Linked DNA regions of Arabidopsis thaliana. The protein of the gene in region 1 interacts with the protein of each later gene in a pairwise test. Each region holds a gene or a part of one and is shown on either strand. Other genes may lie near its edges. The genes, in order: AT-HSFB2B, Lhca5, AT5G43560 and PSBP-1.

What was found.
Region 2: the proteins of AT-HSFB2B (region 1) and Lhca5 interact in a two-hybrid assay, tested with the Arabidopsis thaliana proteins (one study listed by BioGRID).
Region 3: the proteins of AT-HSFB2B (region 1) and AT5G43560 interact in a two-hybrid assay, tested with the Arabidopsis thaliana proteins (one study listed by BioGRID).
Region 4: the proteins of AT-HSFB2B (region 1) and PSBP-1 interact in a two-hybrid assay, tested with the Arabidopsis thaliana proteins (one study listed by BioGRID).

What each region holds. Positions count from the first base shown.
Region 1 is NC_003075.7:7,040,694-7,045,222, forward strand, and holds AT-HSFB2B (winged-helix DNA-binding transcription factor family protein), read left to right. Parts: upstream 1-1,660; 5' UTR 1,661-2,312; coding exon 2,313-2,666; intron 2,667-2,754; coding exon 2,755-3,534; 3' UTR 3,535-3,707; coding exon of another isoform or gene 3,708-3,862; 3' UTR 3,863-4,015; downstream 4,016-4,529. Other genes in the region: AT4G11670 (DNA topoisomerase 4 subunit B (DUF810)), read right to left, coding at 3,708-3,862, 4,039-4,213, 4,310-4,405. UniProt on the Arabidopsis thaliana protein: Transcriptional regulator that specifically binds DNA sequence 5'-AGAAnnTTCT-3' known as heat shock promoter elements (HSE).
Region 2 is NC_003070.9:17,177,393-17,181,317, reverse strand, and holds Lhca5 (photosystem I light harvesting complex protein 5), read right to left. Parts: upstream 2,069-3,925; 5' UTR 1,966-2,068; coding exon 1,781-1,965; intron 1,709-1,780; coding exon 1,576-1,708; intron 1,491-1,575; coding exon 1,378-1,490; intron 1,298-1,377; coding exon 1,101-1,297; intron 1,022-1,100; coding exon 879-1,021; exon of another isoform or gene 788-878; intron 704-787; downstream 1-703. Other genes in the region: AT1G45545 (WEAK CHLOROPLAST MOVEMENT UNDER BLUE LIGHT-like protein (DUF827)), read left to right, coding at 1-703; AT1G45403 (uncharacterized protein), read right to left, coding at 2,903-3,341, 3,444-3,514. UniProt on the Arabidopsis thaliana protein: The light-harvesting complex (LHC) functions as a light receptor, it captures and delivers excitation energy to photosystems with which it is closely associated.
Region 3 is NC_003076.8:17,498,833-17,506,257, reverse strand, and holds AT5G43560 (TRAF-like superfamily protein), read right to left. Parts: upstream 5,883-7,425; 5' UTR 5,705-5,882; exon of another isoform or gene 5,220-5,704; 5' UTR 5,216-5,219; coding exon 4,923-5,215; intron 4,845-4,922; coding exon 4,756-4,844; intron 4,677-4,755; coding exon 4,608-4,676; intron 4,537-4,607; coding exon 4,404-4,536; intron 4,218-4,403; coding exon 4,059-4,217; intron 3,869-4,058; coding exon 3,520-3,868; intron 3,393-3,519; coding exon 3,280-3,392; intron 3,029-3,279; coding exon 2,878-3,028; intron 2,782-2,877; coding exon 2,324-2,781; intron 2,246-2,323; coding exon 2,050-2,245; intron 1,890-2,049; coding exon 732-1,889; 3' UTR 545-731; downstream 1-544. UniProt on the Arabidopsis thaliana protein: Functions redundantly with TRAF1B in the regulation of plant immune response. Contributes to the turnover of the nucleotide-binding domain and leucine-rich repeat-containing (NB-LRR) immune receptors SNC1 and RPS2.
Region 4 is NC_003070.9:2,045,641-2,049,967, reverse strand, and holds PSBP-1 (photosystem II subunit P-1), read right to left. Parts: upstream 2,335-4,327; 5' UTR 2,029-2,334; coding exon 1,782-2,028; coding exon of another isoform or gene 1,778-1,781; intron 1,672-1,777; coding exon 1,439-1,671; intron 1,349-1,438; coding exon 1,298-1,348; intron 1,043-1,297; coding exon 782-1,042; 3' UTR 529-781; downstream 1-528. Other genes in the region: AT1G06690 (NAD(P)-linked oxidoreductase superfamily protein), read left to right, coding at 41-226; NIH (nuclear DEIH-boxhelicase), read right to left, coding at 2,635-4,095, 4,182-4,327. UniProt on the Arabidopsis thaliana protein: May be involved in the regulation of photosystem II.

The DNA.
Region 1 (4,529 bases):
CATAAAAATAATATATTTTTTTTGTCATTTCTTGCAAATAGTTTAAGACATTTAGATTTTTTTTTTTTAAAGATTACCGAAAGTTATACATGTTAAGTATACAATTCAAATTCATGACTTTCGACTATGAAAATACATCATAAATCGATTGTTTTACGTTTTCTGGATTTTTTTTTGGGTTTCTTGGCAAAGTAGACACTTTTTCATAAATAATTTGTAAAGTGGATAGTTTTTTTTAGAAATTAGAGAGATAGACACTTTTTTGTTTTTTGTGAGATAGAGGATATGTCTAATAGATTAAAAAAACAAAATACATATCAAATACTAAAATACCCTTTATCTTGAGAGCTAATAAAAATAATATGAGAGACCATTTGTACTTTATTTTGTTTGTCTTTATTTTTTTTATTTTTTTATTTTAGTTTTCTTAAAATATTTTTTTAAATAATAAATTCTTTTTAAAAAACATTACATTAACTTTTAGAGTAATTATATGTCATCAATCCAATGCACAAACATTTCAAACATAGTTTTGTACACTAACCATTATTCGTTGGTGTACAAATGTGTATACTGATATTTCATAAATCATTAAGTACACCGACTTCTCTTATAAACATAATGATTGTATAAACCTTATATGATTACTCAATATAATAGTGTACATGATGGTGTACATAATTAAAGTATTTTTGATGATGTACAAAATGATTGAAACTATTATGACGATTGATGGATAGAATGATGTATACAACTTTTAAATGATAGCATACAAGATTATTAGACAAAGTGTACAAAACTTGGTGTACACTTCTAGGAAATGTATAAATCATTATTTCAATTAGTGGTGTATATCTCGTACACCAATGTTAGTACACTGTCTCATAGATCTTTAAAGCTGTACGATCATGTACACCATATTTTCCATCATCTCTTTACACTATTTTGTACACAATTATACTGAGTCTATCACTTCTCAGTATTATATGTTAATTTTTACATTATTGTCGTACACTAACATTTGTACACCAGTTTTAACAATATCACATACACCGTCGGCTGGGATTAAATAAAAAAGTGTTACATATTTTTGAAATATAGCAAAATTAGACTTTTTAGATTCACATAAAAATTTTAAAAGTTAATATGATTATGTGGTAATTTTTTATGAAAAATTATTATCAAACAAAGTAAAAATATTTAAATAAAAAAAAAAAGAGAAAAAGTAGAATTTGATTTGAGTTTTGTCTATATTTTACTACCTAACAAATAACAAAAGGTTATATAAGTATTTTTACTAAAATTTTTATTAGACAAAAAATTGTATTAGAAAGGAAAAAAAAAATTATCTATTTCTTCTTTTTCTAAAAAAACTACATATTTTGCAATTTATTTATATAAAAAGAATACATTTTCCAACTTATCTCTTTTTTTTAAAAAGTTTTTTTATCATAAAAACTTTATATTTAAAATCTGGATAATGACACTATTACTACAATTTTGCTAAGATATTTGTTTCCTTTTTACGATGATTACAATTAGACTATAATATTGGATAAACGAATCTCAAATATTGAATTCATAATTAATGTTGAACATAAAACATAAGAAAAGTAATTAAAAAAAGAGTCAACTCAGAATAATCAATTCGAGTCTATCACTTTATTCCACTCACATTAATTACCAAAAATGTTATGAAAATCTAGATAGCGTTTCACATATTCACAGGGTCAAAAAAGGAAATAACAAAAAGAAGAAAAAAGAGAAACTTCTGGAAAAAGAAAAGGAAGCCACATACGCTCTTCTAGCGCATTCCTATACTCTTTCCTTCTTTGTGGTCCCCTTTTCACTTTTTTAAATTCCAACTTTACCCTTGTTCTTCTTCTTCGTTCTCTTTTTTTTATTTTTGTTTTTGTTGTTGTCTTCTGGAACTTCCGATCTGTCTCTCCTCTTCTCTCTCTTTCTTATCAATACGTTCCTCTCAGAACATTCTGGAACTTCACAACATAATCTCTCTCTCTCTCTATCTCTAGCTTCGTGATCATCGTGTGTCTCTGTGTTCAATCTGGATTGTGACAATCTCTTTCTTTCTTGGTTGGTGTAGATTACGTCAAGAGAGAGATAGAGAAGTTTTTGGATTTGGTTCTAATGGGTCTGTGATAGACGTTTCCTTTCTCTTCTCTGTCTAGTTTCTGTTTTGAGATCTCTATGTTTCCAACTTTCTTCAAAGCTCATTCCCATTGGTAGATTTCATCATTATCTTAATTTGGGTATTGGGATTAAGGAAAGTTTAGATTTTTGATCTATAACTCATGCCGGGGGAACAAACCGGAGAAACTCCGACGGTGGCCGGAGTTGGCGGCGGTGGAGCTGGTTGTAGCGCCGGGAATAGTGGTGGAAGTAGTGGATGTGGTGCTGGTGGTGGCGGTGGTGGTAGTGGTGGAGGTGGTGGCGGAGGAGGAGATTCACAGAGGTCAATTCCGACGCCGTTTTTGACGAAAACGTATCAGCTTGTGGAAGATCCGGTTTACGACGAATTGATCTCGTGGAACGAAGATGGAACCACTTTTATTGTGTGGCGACCAGCTGAATTCGCTAGAGATCTTCTTCCCAAATACTTCAAACATAATAACTTCTCGAGTTTTGTTCGTCAGCTCAATACTTACGTGAGTCTCAATATACGTTTGAATCGAAATTTTCAGTTATTAGGTTTTTTAGTAGTGAGCTCTTATTTTGGTTTATTATTGGTTTTAGGGATTTCGAAAAGTAGTTCCAGATCGTTGGGAGTTTTCTAATGATTGTTTTAAGAGAGGTGAGAAGATTCTGCTTCGGGATATTCAACGGCGGAAAATCTCTCAGCCTGCTATGGCCGCGGCTGCTGCAGCGGCGGCGGCAGCCGTAGCGGCTTCGGCTGTTACAGTAGCAGCTGTTCCTGTTGTAGCTCATATTGTTTCTCCATCGAACTCTGGAGAAGAACAGGTTATATCGTCTAATTCTTCGCCTGCGGCTGCTGCTGCTGCTATAGGAGGAGTGGTTGGTGGTGGTTCTTTGCAGAGGACAACGAGCTGCACCACTGCACCAGAGCTGGTTGAGGAGAATGAGCGATTGAGGAAAGATAATGAGCGATTGAGGAAAGAGATGACAAAGCTTAAAGGATTGTATGCGAATATCTACACATTAATGGCGAATTTCACACCGGGTCAAGAAGATTGTGCGCATTTGTTACCTGAAGGGAAACCTTTAGATCTTTTACCGGAGAGACAAGAGATGAGTGAAGCCATTATGGCTTCTGAAATAGAGACAGGGATTGGTCTGAAACTTGGTGAGGATTTGACTCCAAGGTTGTTTGGGGTTTCTATTGGGGTCAAGCGAGCTAGAAGAGAAGAAGAATTGGGTGCTGCAGAGGAAGAAGATGATGATAGACGAGAAGCTGCTGCCCAAGAGGGAGAACAAAGTTCTGATGTTAAGGCAGAGCCAATGGAGGAGAATAACTCCGGTAACCATAATGGGTCGTGGCTTGAACTCGGAAAATGAAAAACACTTGCCGATTCAGAGGCATTGTTGAATATGCAAGAAACTGTTACTGATCCCCATTGCATAGGCAAGCCATTGCGCTGTCCCGGACGGAAAATGGGGATGTGTTCGGTCATAAGAGGACAGATGTTCATTGAGTTGGGGTAGTACAAAAGTATCTAAAAACACTGATTCTACCATCCTGAGTTGTTCCTGATTTCAGATGTTGCCTCCTGAATCTTCTTCTTGATGGAACTGAAACTATTCTGGCTTGCTGTGCTCCAGTGAGTGGATGTGCTTCTCACGATTTCGGATAAAGCAGGCAGATTCAATGTTACATCTTCATATTCTGCAACAAATAGCAGGAATCAATGGTTTTTAAGAGTTATGGCAATGTTGATACAGAATCATTTCTTTTGAGTTCAAAACAATTGTAGCTCTCTGACTTGTAATGATCTTAATGAAATTTATCTCTCTTATTTAAAGATGGTCCAAGTTCTCTAGTGGTCGTGTGTGTGTTTTTACCTGTTGACATAGGAAGCTCGTACTGGCGCTTTAAGAATTTGGAGGCGTTACGATCTTTCTTGTGGCAAAGAACTCTAACAAGAGTTTGTGCATCCTCCAAGCGCCGCTGCTCTGAACTCACCCCCATGTTGATGAGCTCGCTCGCAGTCATTAGCATCTGAATTAGCATATCGCTCTGCCACAACGGACATAATCCGTAACACTTTGGTATCTCATAATTTCTAAGAAAGGAACTAAGTTTGCAATTTGCAAGTGAGCAAAATATATTTACCTCGAGAGAGTACAAGTCGAGGATCTCTTTCGCCTGTTTCGCTTCTTGCTCAACTAGTGAACGAGGAAGTCCCTCCCCATCGGCAATGAAGAACTCCTACAAGGGGACACACGCCGTAGGTTAAGTACACAGATTGGAACTGCCTAATCCACGGATCAAGACCCGGTTCTCATATGCAAAATGGCCGAACCTCAAAATCAAAGTAGAAAATCTAGTTTCT
Region 2 (3,925 bases), on another chromosome or scaffold:
TCGAGAGGAGCTAAGAAAGGCGAAGGAAGAGTCCGATGAAGCGAAAACAGGACTCTCTGCGGTAGAAAGACAGTTAATGGAGTCGAAAAAGGAAATGGAAGCTTCAAGAGCTTCTGAGAAGTTAGCTTTAGCTGCAATAAAAGCATTGCAAGAGACTGAATATGCTAACAAAATCGAAGACATTAGTAGTTCTCCAAAAAGCATAATAATTTCAGTGGAGGAATATTATGAGCTAAGCAAGCAAGCACATGAGGTAGAAGAGGCAGCTAATAGAAAACTAGCGGAGATCGTCTCCAAAATCGAGGTGGCTAAGGAAGAGGAATCAAGAATCTTGGAAAATCTAGAGGAAGTGAGTAGAGAAACAGCTATAAGAAAGGTAGAGCTAAAAGAAGCAATGACAAAAGTTGAGAAAGCTAGAGATGGGAAGGTTGGTATGGATCACGAGTTGCGAAAATGGAGGTCGGATAACGGGAATAGAAGCCCCGAGGGAGGAAATAAGGAGAACTTAAGCAAGTCTAAATCGGCTTTGCATCAACCAACAACGTTTACATTTGGTGAACAAGCAAGCAGTAGTAATGTGACCCCACAAGCAAGCAGTAGTAATGTGACTCCTGAAACTGAAACAAAAAAGAAAAAGAAGAGGTTCTCTCTGTTACCAAAAGTCTTCATGTTCTTGTCAAGGAAGAAGTCATCCAACAAGTAAGTTTCTTACAGGTAGGTTTTATTGTTATTTTCTCGAGATATTCGATTTGTATGTTGAGAGAGAACAGTGAACTTTTAAGTTTGTTGATTAGAACAGATTTGTTGTACTCTTAAATGAAATAAAGGTATTGATACACTTGTCGAATAATCGAATTTTTCATTACAAAAGAATGTACCTAAGATGTAGAGGTGAAGAGGGTTTGAATGATGGTCTTATGCCATGGATTAGAGAGATGCTCAACAAGGTTATCAATAGGGCCAGTGTGAGTCACAGAGGCTTGAACAAAGAACCCGAGCATCGCCATCATCGCTAGACGACCTGTTAAAAAAAACAATCAATCAATGTCCCACAAAGAGAGTTTTATGAGTAAGTAACCAAACCAAAGTAAGTCTAGTACCGTTCTTGATCTCCTTAAGCTTCCAGTCATGAGCATTTTGAACATCCTTAGCAAGGCCTAATGGGTTTAAAAGCGGTCCTCCGGGATATCCAGGCTCGAGCCCCTCGAGTGCTGCTTCAAGTCCAAAGAAAAACGATCCTTCTTTGGCTTGTGATCCCGGAGAGACAAAATCCATATACCTTTTAGTCTCAGCAAACCTTGTGAAGAAAACAAAACAGAACCATTCTAAGCTTTTGTTGGTTAACAATAAAGATAGATAATGAGTTTGATTCATTACCCCATAAGTAGAAACTGTACAACTATGAGAGTTTTTGTACTAGCAAAATCAAATTTCACAGCTCCAGCTTCATACCAAACCGGTAAATTACGAATCCCTGTGGTCCGAAGGAGCTAATGCAACAAAAACAAAGCTCTAAGTTAGTCATATTTGGAGCCATTTTCAACATTTAAGTAAATGATTAAGATTAGTGATTACATCAGTGAAGAGTATTCCTGCAACACCGAGCATAGCGAAACGAGAGTGAACAAGCTCTGCTTGAACATACCACTTCAAGCTTTCCGGATCCTCTCCTAACCCGAGTGGGTCAAACCCGTAATCTCCAGCTAAACTTTATTTCAAGAACACAACAAGAGATTAGTATATTAGTCCTTTTTGCAAATGGGAGGCAAAAGGAACTCACTTTCCATCAAGATAAGGAGGAGGGTTTAGTCCAGGTAGCCACGTGGCACGTTCAACAGCCACCGTTGGGTTGATGCCTCCTCCTGCGGCTTTGACGGATGAGATTCTTCTTGTGATGACGGATGAAGCGTCACGACGATGGTGAAGAAATCCTCCGGTGATGCCTCCACGTAAAACTACGGCCATTTTGCTCTGTTTTATTTTTTTTTGCTTACGTTTTTGTTCTGTTCTGACTCTGTTTATTTGTTATCGGCAAGTTGTGAAGTAACGTGATCCACGTAAACTAGTCATTTTTTTCATTTCTTGTATTCATATTATTATTATTATTTTTTCTCATTTTGATAAAAAATATGATTTTTTTTTATATTATCATATCACCTAAGCCTGGGAATTCGGGTATTCAGTTCGGTTCCGATTCTTTCGGTTCGGTTGGTTTAGAATCCATATATGAACCGAAACAGTTTCAATTCGGTTTGGGTTTGGTTCTGGTTCTTTCGGTTTCGGTTTTGAAGTTTAGGATCCATTCAGATATTTTATTTCGTATTTTTCTGATATTTCAGATATTTTGAGTATTTTCGAATAGTTTCGAGTATTTTTCGGATTTTGGTATTTTTATATATTTTTCGAGTAAATTTTGGTATTTTAGATATTTTTGATTATTTGATCTAAAAATAATTAATACTTATAATCATATTTCAAATATTTCAGATAACCAAAATATTTCGATTTGGTTCGGGTACGGTTCCGATTATTTTGATTCAAAAATTTAGGATCCATTTGAGTATTCTATCATTTCGGTTCGGGTTCAGTTCTTTTTGTTTTAGTTCTGATTCAGTTCTTTCGGTTCGGTTATTATGGCCATGCCTAATATCACCAATATTATTGAAGCCCTAAACTTATAGCAATCTATATTGCAAAGAATCAGCCTTGTGGAACAAAACAAAGAATTGAATCATGAAAGAAGATGAGTCTCTACTTTCAAATCAAATATTATATTTGGTTTTCATGCACCAAAAAAAAAAATATATGAAGAAAAATAAAATTATAAAGAAAAATGATTATATCCGTGAAATATTTTAAGATTAAAAAGAAAATTCAAGACATATAAATTAAAGAGAAGAAACTAAACATTAACAACTCTGAGGAGTGGTTGATTCAAATAGTCCCAGTGATCTCTTAAAGCTTTAAATAGTTGGGGTAGACATAATGCATAAAGAGCTTCAATGAAAGCGGCAAAGACCCATAACAACGATGGGATACCAAACCATAGAGCCAAACTTGGAGAGATAGAATAGAGGAGGTGAAGGAGAACACTCAAGCCAAAGATGTGACCAATGCGTCCACATATGTACATGTCATAACCTTCAACAGCAGTCATTGCCATGCACCACCCCATGAAACTCATCATGCCGCACACTAAGTACATTAGTAAGCAAACCGTCAAAGATGATTCATCTGCGGTTAAGGGAATCTTGTGGTGTGTCATATACAAGTTCGCTGCAATGTTGAGGATTTTGAGGATGCAAGTCATCACGATATCGTATTGTAGGTTCTTGTTCGTCCTTCATTAACAAATTAGAAGAAAAAAAATTAAATTAGTGAATCATGAGAATTAATTTTGTTCTCTAGTAATGAATCGATAAGAAAATCGACTTTGATATTACCACCAAATACGGAAGAGGCTAGTAGATTCATAGACAGGCTTCTTAGCATCATCAACCATAGTAGTAGTCATGGCTTCTTCACAAATTAATGTACAATCGCACAAACTTATTATTATTATACCAAGCCGGATTGTGAAATTTTCTTTTCCTTCGTTGGATACATATTAATTTCTCGAGTTCTATTCCAAGGCCCAGTGGGATGAATACAAATGGAAAACTCTATTGTGCTTACCTTTTTCTTTGTCTGCAATCAATTTTGATATTTAATCAAATATTTGAAAATCTTCCAAAACTTGCAATATTGCATGATTTATTTAGAAAGAAAATTCTAGAAGAATACACCAAATATTTTCTGATTATTGTATGTTCCTTTTATTTTAAGTACATAAATCTTTTTGATTCAAAAGATCAGTACACAATCTAATTATTATTTTTTATAGTAATTATTTTTTACAAAATTTATATCCACTAAACACTTTTTA
Region 3 (7,425 bases), on another chromosome or scaffold:
TTCAAAATTTTCAATTATATATTGTCAACATTTTCACCTACTTTAGATAGTAGATACACATCCGAGATAGATAAAGGACATGTGACACATGAAAATGTGTGAACAATATAACTATAATATTAATAACTTTTCAGGAAAAAAATGATAATGTTTAATCGGGCAAGTCGTGGGTGGTTTGATTACGGTATGTAGACCGTAGGCTCTCGTGAATTAATCTAGCGTATATTTCTGAAATTGGTGGCCATTTTACGTAAGAAATTATTGCCCTAAGTTTTCTTCCACACAATCTATCTTTTAGTTATACATTTTATATACAAATCATAATATTTTTCCGTGGTGAAGTCTTTCATCTAAAAAAAGTGTTTCGATGTCATGCAGGTCATATATATCTTCTGCCTTTTTTTGTATTGAATATTTTTGTGGAAAGAAAAAAAGACAACCATTCATATATGAATAGTTCAAGTTGACTTTGTTCGTCATAGTTCTATCCACAACCGCATTTGCATTCGCACATTTAAATACTCCAAATGAAGATAAGCTGACTCTGAAACTTTAATTTGAGGATCAATTAACTTAAAAATTGTTATATTATTAAAGAAAATAAAACCTATAGAGAAAAAAGGATTCATTTGAAACGAAGAGGACGAAAACTCTCTTTACACAAATGTTTTTTGCTTTCCATCTTTATATAATAAACATTACAATGCAATGCCACTCTTTAAACCCAAACCTCAGTGTCCGTTCGATGGCCTGAAGTCCCTATAGCCGTTGATTCCAGACAAATTCGGGTTTGATGAATCTAAATCAAAGTAAGAGTAAGTAGCTGTTGCTGATGCTGATACATCGTCTTGGTTCCTCATAGCCGGTAAAGAGAAATCCATATTTGCCATCTGCCATTGCGATTGTGTTTGCCCATTACCATATGGCGAGGAAGAAGCAGAATGTGGCATGTATTCACCGTAAGACTGGTGAAATCCATCATCACTGTAACTCCTAGACCTGCTAGAGATCCCGAGATCCGCACCGCCATGATATGAGTACTGGTTGTTGAACTGTTGTGGTACACGGTATACGCTATTATCCATTGTACCGTGTTCGTCTGCAAGCAGATCATTGATGATATCAAGGTGAGGGAACTCATCGGTCATCAGACTCTGTGCCGTTCTCCCTATCTGAACATTAGTAGGCCTGATGCTGGTAGTTACTACGGGTGCGTTGTAAGTGTTTGTTTTGTGATTCCCGCTGATGGTTGTTGTTGTATCTCTGGTTGAACTCGAACCACCGGTCCACAATAGCCCACCAGAAGAAACATCCCAAGAGCCAACATTGATAGGGAAACCAGACTGATTTGATACTGAGATAGGAGACGGATGTGAATAAGGCGGCAATGTGCTTGTTCCACTCGATTGAGAGCTTGGGTGGGTGAAACCAGATGAACCCACTATGGCATGTTTGTAGGATTGAGGATTGTAAGCTTGGCTATGTGTCGGTGAACCTAAACGCCCTGTTGAGCTCATTGAACGAGCAAGGGACGCAGTCGAGGTTTGAACAGCAGATATTACAGGTGCAGCTTGCGTTGGAGGGATTATAGGAGCACTCAAAGGCCTTGACATAGGAGGTGCTGGTTGTTCCACAGGTTTCGGAGAAGCGATTTTCTGTATATCAGCTCTAGGACCCACTGTTTGCAACTGAGCTTCACGAGATGGTGATGCATGATGTGATGAAGGTGATTTAACAGATATGACTTTCCTGTTTGGAACCGCCTCTACATTTGAAACACCCTTTTTCTCCGGTTTTGCTTGCACTGGAGACGGAGGATTCCAAGGAGCAGCTCTGGATGGGGAAAGTACCGCAGCACTTTTCTCTTTCATCTGAATCATGTTGGGATCCTGCAAAATAAGATATAGTCATTCAATGTTGATAAGCATATCACTCTAAAATGGATTGAAAGGTAAACCAACACGAATTCTTTGGAATTTAGCTTCCCTCTTTTATATATATAACTTCCAAGTTCCAACATTGCAACTTCAAAAGGAAAGAGTAAACCACCTTGCTAACAGGACTACGTTCCTTAGGGCTCTCTGGTTTTTGAATGTGGGAGATAACTATGTCAGCTTCACCAACTCTGCGTATATCAGAAGAATGGCTCTGATTTTTAGGGTCAGATGCAAGTCTTGAAGGTTGATGCTCTTTTTCACTGGCTAAACTGTTGGAATCAGATACTTTTCCTGGTTGTATTTTTCCACTGCACATCACAAGGTATGTTATCCGGATGTGGAACAAACAAATAACTTAAAGGAAAGTTCAAAAAAAGTTTACTTACTTGCTAAACCACTTTTGGCTTTGGCAATTTAATACATTCCCTTTGTATGACCCATTGGCTACCCCTGATTGAATCGAGTCATTAGAACAGGTTGAAGAACTATCATCCATTGTGGACAGACCCTTTCTTTCTGCAACTCCATTAGGTATAGAAAAAGAATTGCCTCTTCCTCTGCTAGTGTCTCCTGCAGAAGGAGGATGAACCTCTGAGGCATCCATTTCCCAATGAACAGGACTACTCTCTCTATCTTCTGAATCAAGCTGAAGTATTTCAGCTGAACTATCTACTGAATCAGACACGTCAGAGACATCTCCAAGTGTGTCAGGTTTTTCAGCTGACGATTCTGCTATCGCTCTCACACATTCCTCTTTCTCAATTTCCCTTTCTTCTGTTTGGGTTCTCACCTTGTCTTCTTTCCTCATTTCCTTTCCTTTGTTTTTGTTCTTTTTCTGTTTCGCCTATGAGTTCCAAAACAATAAGAATCTCCATTAGCACCCCAACTAGTCGTTAATGGCATTATCTATTTTGGAAGTAACAGAAGTGTAAGGACGGACCTGTTTCTTCTTAGATTTCTTCTCTTTTTCAGATGCTCCTCTTTTGCCCTTCTGTTCGCTTTCTGCCAGCCACGCTTCCTCTTCTTCACGAATAAGTTCTTCTTGCCTTTTCCATGCAATAGCTTCTTGGTATGCAACTTCAATTTTGTTGCTGCATTTCTCAGAAAGATTGCAGTGCTATACATGAGGTACAGCTAAGAACACAAAGACACACAATACCAGAAGACCAGAAATACAAAATAAACACTATCAGCGGTTTCAGAATAAGATCGTCACGCATGTCTTAGCTTGTAAACAAATTATGTGCTTATGATTCACTTGTATGGAAATTTTAAAGCAAAGGCAAAATTATGCCTGGTGCACCAAATAAAAAAACAAAGAGGAAAAATTATGCCTTATTACCTGAAGATATGTGCAAGAACAAATATCTCCACAGTCCGTCTACCCAATTCAGTTAAACGCCTATCATCACGCTCAACGGCTTCTCTACTGAATTCCTCTCCAGCATTCCCATCCTAGATAAGGACAAGTGCTCATGTTTCAAGCATTTTTACATGTATAACAAAAAGTCAAAAAGCACCACCACACAGGAGAGTAAATCATGAACTTCAATCAATAAAATACAATAACAAAGAAACTAACCTTCGTACGGTTTTGAGAACTCTTTTCCTCTTTTTTAGGCAATGGCTCCAGAGCAGCCTTCTCTAAGAGTAATAACACATCATCAACTAATGCAAACGAATCTTTGTCCACGCTAACAATTGGAGCTGTGGATTCTTCAGTATCCATTAGTCTCGGCCTACTCTCCTTGTTCTTATTTTGGCCTTCAAGAGCCTTCAATCCACTATACAAGGAATCCATCACCAAAGTAGATGTAACTTCCTTCTCGACAAAGAAGTGTTTTACAACTATTTTTAGAATCACATCCATTTTCTCTCGGGACATTCGACGCCTTGAATTTTGGTCCAACCCCATCCAGAAAGCACAGAAGCTGCACCAAGAAATAACAATCACTTCCTTATCATGCAAACACCTCAAACTTTGAAGGAAGATTAGCAAGAAGTAAAAAAAAAAAAAAAAAAGTGCAGTACTACACTAGATTGGAATCAACCCAGTCTCTACAGCTATTTTTGATTTCATTTCTGGAATTTGGAGGAGTTGAGTGTAAAAATGTGGAATACCTTTTCCATTTTGCCTTGTCCTCTATCAACCTACCAAGCTTGCTTCTTTTCTCTTCCACAAACCGCCAGCAAATTTGCTCTACATTTCCCAAATACACCCTAACAAGTTCCTCCCTATATTTATAATGAAGGCAGCGAAAAGGTCGGTCCACTCTCTCTCTGCAAGAATCAATTTACAGAATTATCCACAATGCGACAAATAAAATCAAATAAATTGAAGCGAGCATAAGTTTTGTTGCAATGTGCATATTTGGTCAGGAACGTTTTTAAACACGTGTAGATGTATGTTAATGGGAGGATGTCTGACACATGATGACTTTAGCTAAAACTCAATCTTGCATTTACCTGATCACCTGCACTTGAGCTTTAATTGTAAGACAACCAGAATCATCTATAAACCCTTCCTTCAATTTAGGTAACTCAATAAATTTCTTCCAACCCCAATCATGCTCTTTCTTCCAAAACCGGTGTAACGTATCTGTAAGAAAACCCTGTTCAGTTCGACTGCGTAAATACGATATAAAGAAATCAAAAGATGCAAAATGTAACCTGAATGCTTTGACTTCTTCGGATCTTTATTCGACACAGCTATAGTAAACTGAGCAAAATGACTCCAGCCTGTCTCAAAGATAAACCTAAACGATAAGGTTCCCGGTTTCAAGAGTGTGTAGCTAAATAGACAACACAATATACTCACCTGGAAGAAGCTTTTCATGGTGTGCAACACATAGAAACAAAGAGAGATGGTTGCAAACATCACACCCTTGTGGATAAATTAATATATACCTACACCACCACCACAAGAGGAATATCAAACATTTTGTTAAGGAAAAGTACTCAACAAGGTTTAGTGATCATTCTTACCATTTGTAACCCCCGACTTCAAAAACATCGCCGCGGAGCTCTCGTTTGTTGATATCTGAAAATTTCTCAATCGTCCAAGTATTTTTCCCAAATAGTTGAGATGGTTTTGATCCAAAATCGTCATCATCATCGATGTCCCAATACGGTGGAGATGTAGAAGGAGTTCCATTCTCAACTTGTTCAGAAGAACGCCACTCAGCGATTGCTTCTTCTGATTGACTTCTTTGTCCATTTGAATTCTCTTCCAGTGATGATCTTCCTGCTCCACTATCTTCATTAGTACTCTCTGACATTCCCCTGATTAAGATTTCATCATACTAAATTAGTTAATGAATTCAAATAAGCTCAAAATTACGAATTTATCATAATCATCATCAAAACAAAGAATTATAGCTGAAGTGAATCAAATCTAAATCACAGTCACAGCTCAACAAAGATTCTAAATCAATCACTCACTCACATGAATCAAATCAATACACCAAAAACCTCAAAAACTATATAAGAATTGAGAATAAACCCTAAAAACAAAAAGCAATCTTAGAAACTAATAAAAACAAAAGCTGGAGCTGAGGAAATGCAAGAGAGACAAAATTATTCGATTCAATTAATTGAATTACAGAGAATTTACAAACAGAAAACATTGAAAAAAAATTCGATAAATATTTGAAGAAATCAGCGATCGGAAAACTCAAAAAAAAAACGGCACGAAATTGAAATCGGAGAAGTAAGGAAGAAAGATTTGAAGGAGACGTGTAAACGACGCCGTGTAGATCGAAGCAAACCTGGAGATGATTGAAGAAAGAGCTTGGAGATCGTTAGAATGAGATTTTAATGGAAGCTCGCTCTCTTCAAGATTCTAGAGAGAGAGATAAAAAAAGAGACGGAAGAGAGAGAAATGGAGAGATTGTAAGAAAGAAGAAAAAACACAGCGAAACAGAGAGAACAAATTTTAACCTTAAATTTAATTTGTTTTAATAGTTATTTTTTCATTCATGACATATTTATATATAACGTTCATGTTTTCATTTCTGCTCTGTTCTTTTTTTATCCATTTTGTATTACAAGAGAAAGAGATGAAATCATCAATATGGTAATAAGAAAACTAATGTCTTTTCTTGTCATCAATTAGTTTAATCTATATTTTCATAAAAAGGCAAACGAAAGATTTATTATTTTTTTACTTAAAACTTAAAAGAGAAATTTTATGTATATTTAAAAATATATCCGAGAAAAATTATTTTATATATTAAAGTATTTAACAGAATAACCAAACGAGATATTAGCGTTTTGAAATATGTATATCAAGAGGAAAATATTTTACATATTAAGTATATAACGGAATAAACAAACAAAATTTCTGTTTTTTGTGATCTTTTCTTAATATTCTATGTAAATTTTGCGGAAAATATTTTATATATCAAAATTATCTAACGGAATAAATCTACGAGATATACATATTTTACTTAAGAGAAAACAATTGTTACATTTAAAAAAAATTACATAAATCAAGCGGATAATTATTATGTATACATTAAAAGCATCTAACGGAATAACCAAACGAAATTCATGTTTACTTAAGAAAACAAAATGTTACCTTTTAAAAAAATCCACGTGAATCATGCGGGAAAATATTTTATATATTTCAATTATTTAACGGAATAAAACAAACGAGATATTAACGTTTTACTTAAAAAAAATTTGTCTTTTTTGTCAAGAAGAAAAATAGTTGTTATCTAATGGAATAATCAAACAAAATTCATGTTTTACTATAAAAAAAAAACTATTGTTAACTTTTAAAAAAATTCCACCTGGATCATGCAGAGAAATATCTTATATATTAAAAAATACTTAACTTTGTTTTGTTTTGTTAAAGAGTTTTATTAAAGTACTTAACATACTAAATAAACGGTATATTAATGTTTCACTAAAGAAAAAAAAATTGTTATCTCTTTAAAAAATCGCATAAATGATAGATTACACGAACACTGATTTTATATCAAAGTAATATTTTGAGATTATTAATTTATAAATAACAGATTAGGACTTGTATTTGTGTTGATAAATTATATTTATTTTTTCAAGTTATATATCTGTATTTTGTACCACTATTTTTCATTTTTTGTTTGTCTCATGTCGATGTCTAAACTCTTTTTTAAACACTCTCTCATATTTATTAGACATCTCGATATTAATAAGTATATTTAATAAATAAAAAAATTCAGCAGAAAATTAAAAAATAGTAAATTTGATGTCACCTAATTATGAATTACATGTAAGCTTAGTTACTTTTCCTCTTGAGTTACTTTTATATCATGATAATTAGCTTATTTTAGTGCCTTTTAATGTCTGTATACATAAGTAAATTAATATTTGTAAATATGTATTTTGAGGGGAAAAAAAAATAATTTACAGTCATTGGAATTTGGTAGATTCGAAGGGCTTGAAAGCAAATTACTTGAAATTGAAAGATAAGAACTTTGAATGGGCTATAAGCCGTTCGTAA
Region 4 (4,327 bases), on another chromosome or scaffold:
AATCATATGCCTTCTTGTTTTGTTGTGTTGTGCTGTGCAGATAGCATTGAACTGGTTGGTGGCACAAGGGAACGTGATACCCATCCCAGGAGCCAAGAACGCAGAACAAGCCAAAGAGTTTGCTGGAGCGATAGGTTGGAGTCTGACAGACAATGAAGTGAGTGAGCTACGGTCCCTGGCCTCTGAGATAAAACCCGTCGTTGGTTTCCCTGTTGAGTATCTCTGAACTCTTAACACTCTGTTTGTAGCATTTGTAAAGCTCAAAAGTTACAATATGAACTAAAAGTAGTATATAGATGATGGTAAAGTGTTGTAATACATATGCAAATAAAATCTTTTTGCCTCTTTGAGAACTTTACAGTAGCCAAAAAGAAAGAGGAGGGCCTTTGGCATATGCTTCAATAGATCTAGTTAGAGTCAGACGTCAAAATTCATCTGCGTTTTAACCTTTCTGTTGACTAGAAGAACCATTTGATGCTTACCTCTTTTCATATCAGCTTCAAGCAGGCTTTCTTCTCACTATCTTTGTGCTTTCAAGGATTTAGATTTAGTCTATAGCTTCTTTCTGAGTCAATATCTTATTAATTTGAGAAAATATCTATTGAATATAGTTGTTTTTTAAGAAAACTTGGAAAACGAGTCTGTTATCATAGGTACACAAGTGATGCCGAAAAGGTAACATCATCTTGATAGTTCTCAAAAGCTCAGTTTCATTTTCCATTTTTTACAAGAGACAAATGAAGAAAGCAAGCAGAGCATTGTTACGTTGTGTTGCTTTCACTCAAGCAACACTGAAAGAAGTGGCTGCGCTCTCGACAAATTTCCTGGCTCCCTTGAACCACCTCTTGTCTCCAGCTTGTGCTTTGCAGATGTAAAGCTTCCCTCCATTCACGGTTGCTGTGATCAGCTGATGCTTCCCACCTTCGTCTCCATCAGCCGTTCTTGTCAACACAGACAAGTAATAGTAGGGTTTCCCACCAACTTCCTGAGATGATGACTCCAGAATGTTTGCTGTTGCCACTGCATTGTTGTCAAAGCCTCCCTGTAAGAACATCAGATTCACACACACACAGAGTTAGAACTTGATAACTCACTCCACCTAAGGTAAGAATCTTTCTTGTAATAATCATCGACTACTAGAGAGGTCTTTGAAGGTTATCAGTTAAAAAAGCTTTTGAGTTTTGTTTTATCAGTTAACAACGAGGGAGACAATGTGTTCTCTCTTTAGTGTTTGATTCTCTTATTCTATTCTATCAGCTTCTGGTTTACTTATAACAAATAACAATGGGAAGTTTACCTCAGAGGCAGTCTCACCGAAGTAAGCTTGTTTCCCTAGGAGGTAATTAACCTGCATAAAGCCCAAATCACCACTCAGTCTCACACTTCATTAGATTTTGTAACATCAATACCTTTACAGATGATGGAGTAAAGCAAAGACCTGAGAGAGGAACTCTTCGGGAGAACCGTAATCAGTGATGGACTTCTTGTCGGTAGGAGTGACCATGACATTGAGATTGCTAGTAGCATCGAAGTTGTCTTCGAACCTAAGGACTTGTCCTGGATACTCAATCTCTTTGCTTGGGTTCCATTTTGCTGGAACCTGCACTTTGAACCCATCTCCATTGTATGGCAAGAAGTCTGTGTTCGTCTTTGGCTTCCCAAACACGTTTGCTGCAACAAACCAAAAAATAAAAATAGGATGAAAAAAACACAATATGTTCTTCAAGATTCTTCTTCAAGAAAATGAAATGATCCAAGGTTATTTTATTTTATAAACGCACCAGCTTCACCGTAGGCGGCATCAGCAGGAGATACTTTGGAACCAACAGCAGCGGCGCCGACGAGGAGAGTGAGAGCAAGACGGCGGGAGACGGCGGAGTTATCGTCTTCATGAGACTGTTGAGCTTTACAGATGATCTGAACAGGTTTGGAGAGCGACACGTGACGCTGGGATGAGGAGGAAGATGATGATCGTGCGGCTGATGAAGCCAATGCGCTCTGGTGTAGGAAACACGCACTGTACGCCATTATCTCTGTCTCTCTTTCTCTCTTTCTCTCTTCTCTCCTTGTGTGTGATTAAGTTATGAAAGTGTTTTTTGAGGATTGTTGGTGTGTTAATGTATGGAGGTGAAACCAAGAGTGAAGCTGATTGGTTGGTTTCGGATATTGGAGGATCTCTCTGTTGATGTCCAGATAAGGCTGTTGAGGTGTTGTATTGTGCCACGTGGCAGATACGCTTTCTTCTTGTTCCACGTCAGATTCATAAGCCTTCGATTCCATCTATTTTAGTATTTTACTCTAAAGCCATTCCATGATCAAATCTTTTTTCTGCTCACACTAAGACACTACAGTACTGGATCAATAATGGCTTTTCTTCTTTCAGTTACATGCGTATATCTTAAAACGTTTATAACGATAGAACAACGGAAGCACTAAGTGAGAATGAATACAAATTATCTAACAAAATTGTTGAAATTAAGAATCTGTTACACTTATGTAGACAAGTGCCATTTCAAAACTTGGTTTCATGACAAACACCGAAATGCTCATTAAAACACCAAAGTGGAATGGGCATCATACTTCCCTTCTTCTTTCGGTTTTGCTTAGGTTGGTGCAGTATTTGAGCCACACTGCTCATTGATCGGAAGGTATGCTCGGTTTTTCCTCAATCAAACCTGACTTGTTTCCCTGGCTCAATACATTAGTGGAAGGCATTTTCTCTTCCATATTGTTAACCGAATCAAAGTTGTTAGCTAATTTGCGCTTTTTCTTTTTTGGTTTCTTAGCTGGAGCAGTGTTTGAGTCAGGTTGCTCATTCCCACTGACAAGATTCGAAGGAATGCTCTCTTTCTCCTTACCCGGATCCAACCTGTTGACTGACTCAGGATCTTTTTGCTCATTTCCGTTTGCCAGATCAGAAGGCTTGTTTTCTTCCATGTTCCCCAAGTCCAGGTTGTTGACTGATTTGCACTTTTTGGACCTTGATCGCTTCTTTTTTGGTTGCTTAGCAGCTTCCATTGGAGCAGTGGTTGGGTCAGGTTGTTCATCCCCATTAGCAAGATTCAAAGGCAAGCTCTCTTCCATGTTACCATAATCCGAGTTGTTAGGTAGCCTAAGCTCTGTTTGCTCATTCTCATTAGCCAGATCCGAAGGCGTGTTCTCTTTCATATTCCCTAAATCCAAGTTGTTGGCTGACTTGGGCTCTGTTTGCTCATTCTCATTTGCCAGATCGGAAGGCTTGCTCTTTTCCATCTTCCCCAAATCCAGGTTGTTGCCTGATTTGCGCTTTTTAGACCTGGATCGCTTCTTTTCTGGTTGCTTAGCCGCTGAAGCATCTTCACCTGGAGCAATGTTTAGGTCATGTTGCTCATTTCCATTGACGAGATTAGAAGGAATGCTCACTTTCTCGCTACCCAGATCCAACTTGCTGACTGACTTAGGCTCTTTTTTCTTATTCCCATTTGCCAAATCAGAAGGCGTGTTCTCTTCCATGTTCCCTAAATCCATGCTGTTGGCTGAGTTAGGCTCTGTTTTCTCATTCCCATTGGCCAGATCAGAAGGCGTGTTCTCTTCCATGTTCCCCATGTCCAAGTTGCTAGCTAACTTCGGCAATGTTTGCTCATTCCCAATAGCCAGATCAGAAGGTGGGTTCTCTTCCATGTTCCCGAAATTCTCTTCAATGTTCCCCAAATCCACGTTGTTGAGCGACTTGCACCTTTTGGACTCTGACTGCATCTTCTTTTGTTTTGTAGCCGCCGAAACATCTTCCACTGGAGAAGTGTTTGGGTCAGGTTGCTCATTCCCATCAGCGAAATTTGAAGGCAAGCTCTCTTCCATATTACCCAAACCCAACTTGTTGGCTAATTCGAGCTTTGACCCCATTGGAGTAGTGTTCGGGTCATGCTCCCGAAGCTCATTGGGGTTAGTGGAAGGTATGTCATCTCTGGGACTCGTTGCATCTACCACTGAAGTAATAGGTTGCACAGCTACAGTTTGAACTGAAGATTGTGCGAGGCTATCATATGAGAGAACAGAAGCTATTGCATACATAGAAGCACCGAGATGAGGCGGCAAATTTTCCTTTGGATGTTTAACCTACAAATGCATATGGAAGGTTGAAAAGGATGACATTGCCAAAATAAAATAATGAAAATCTTAAATCGTAGTGATAACTCATGTACCTTGAACAAAATGGACGCCATTAGTCTCTCTCTCAAGATGTACATTTGAGCAATTTCAAAAGCTGTAACCTTGAAAGGCAGCCACCGATCCACTACTACTTTTACTGAATTTTCCGGCCCAAGCATTATTTTCTCTCCAGGCCTAC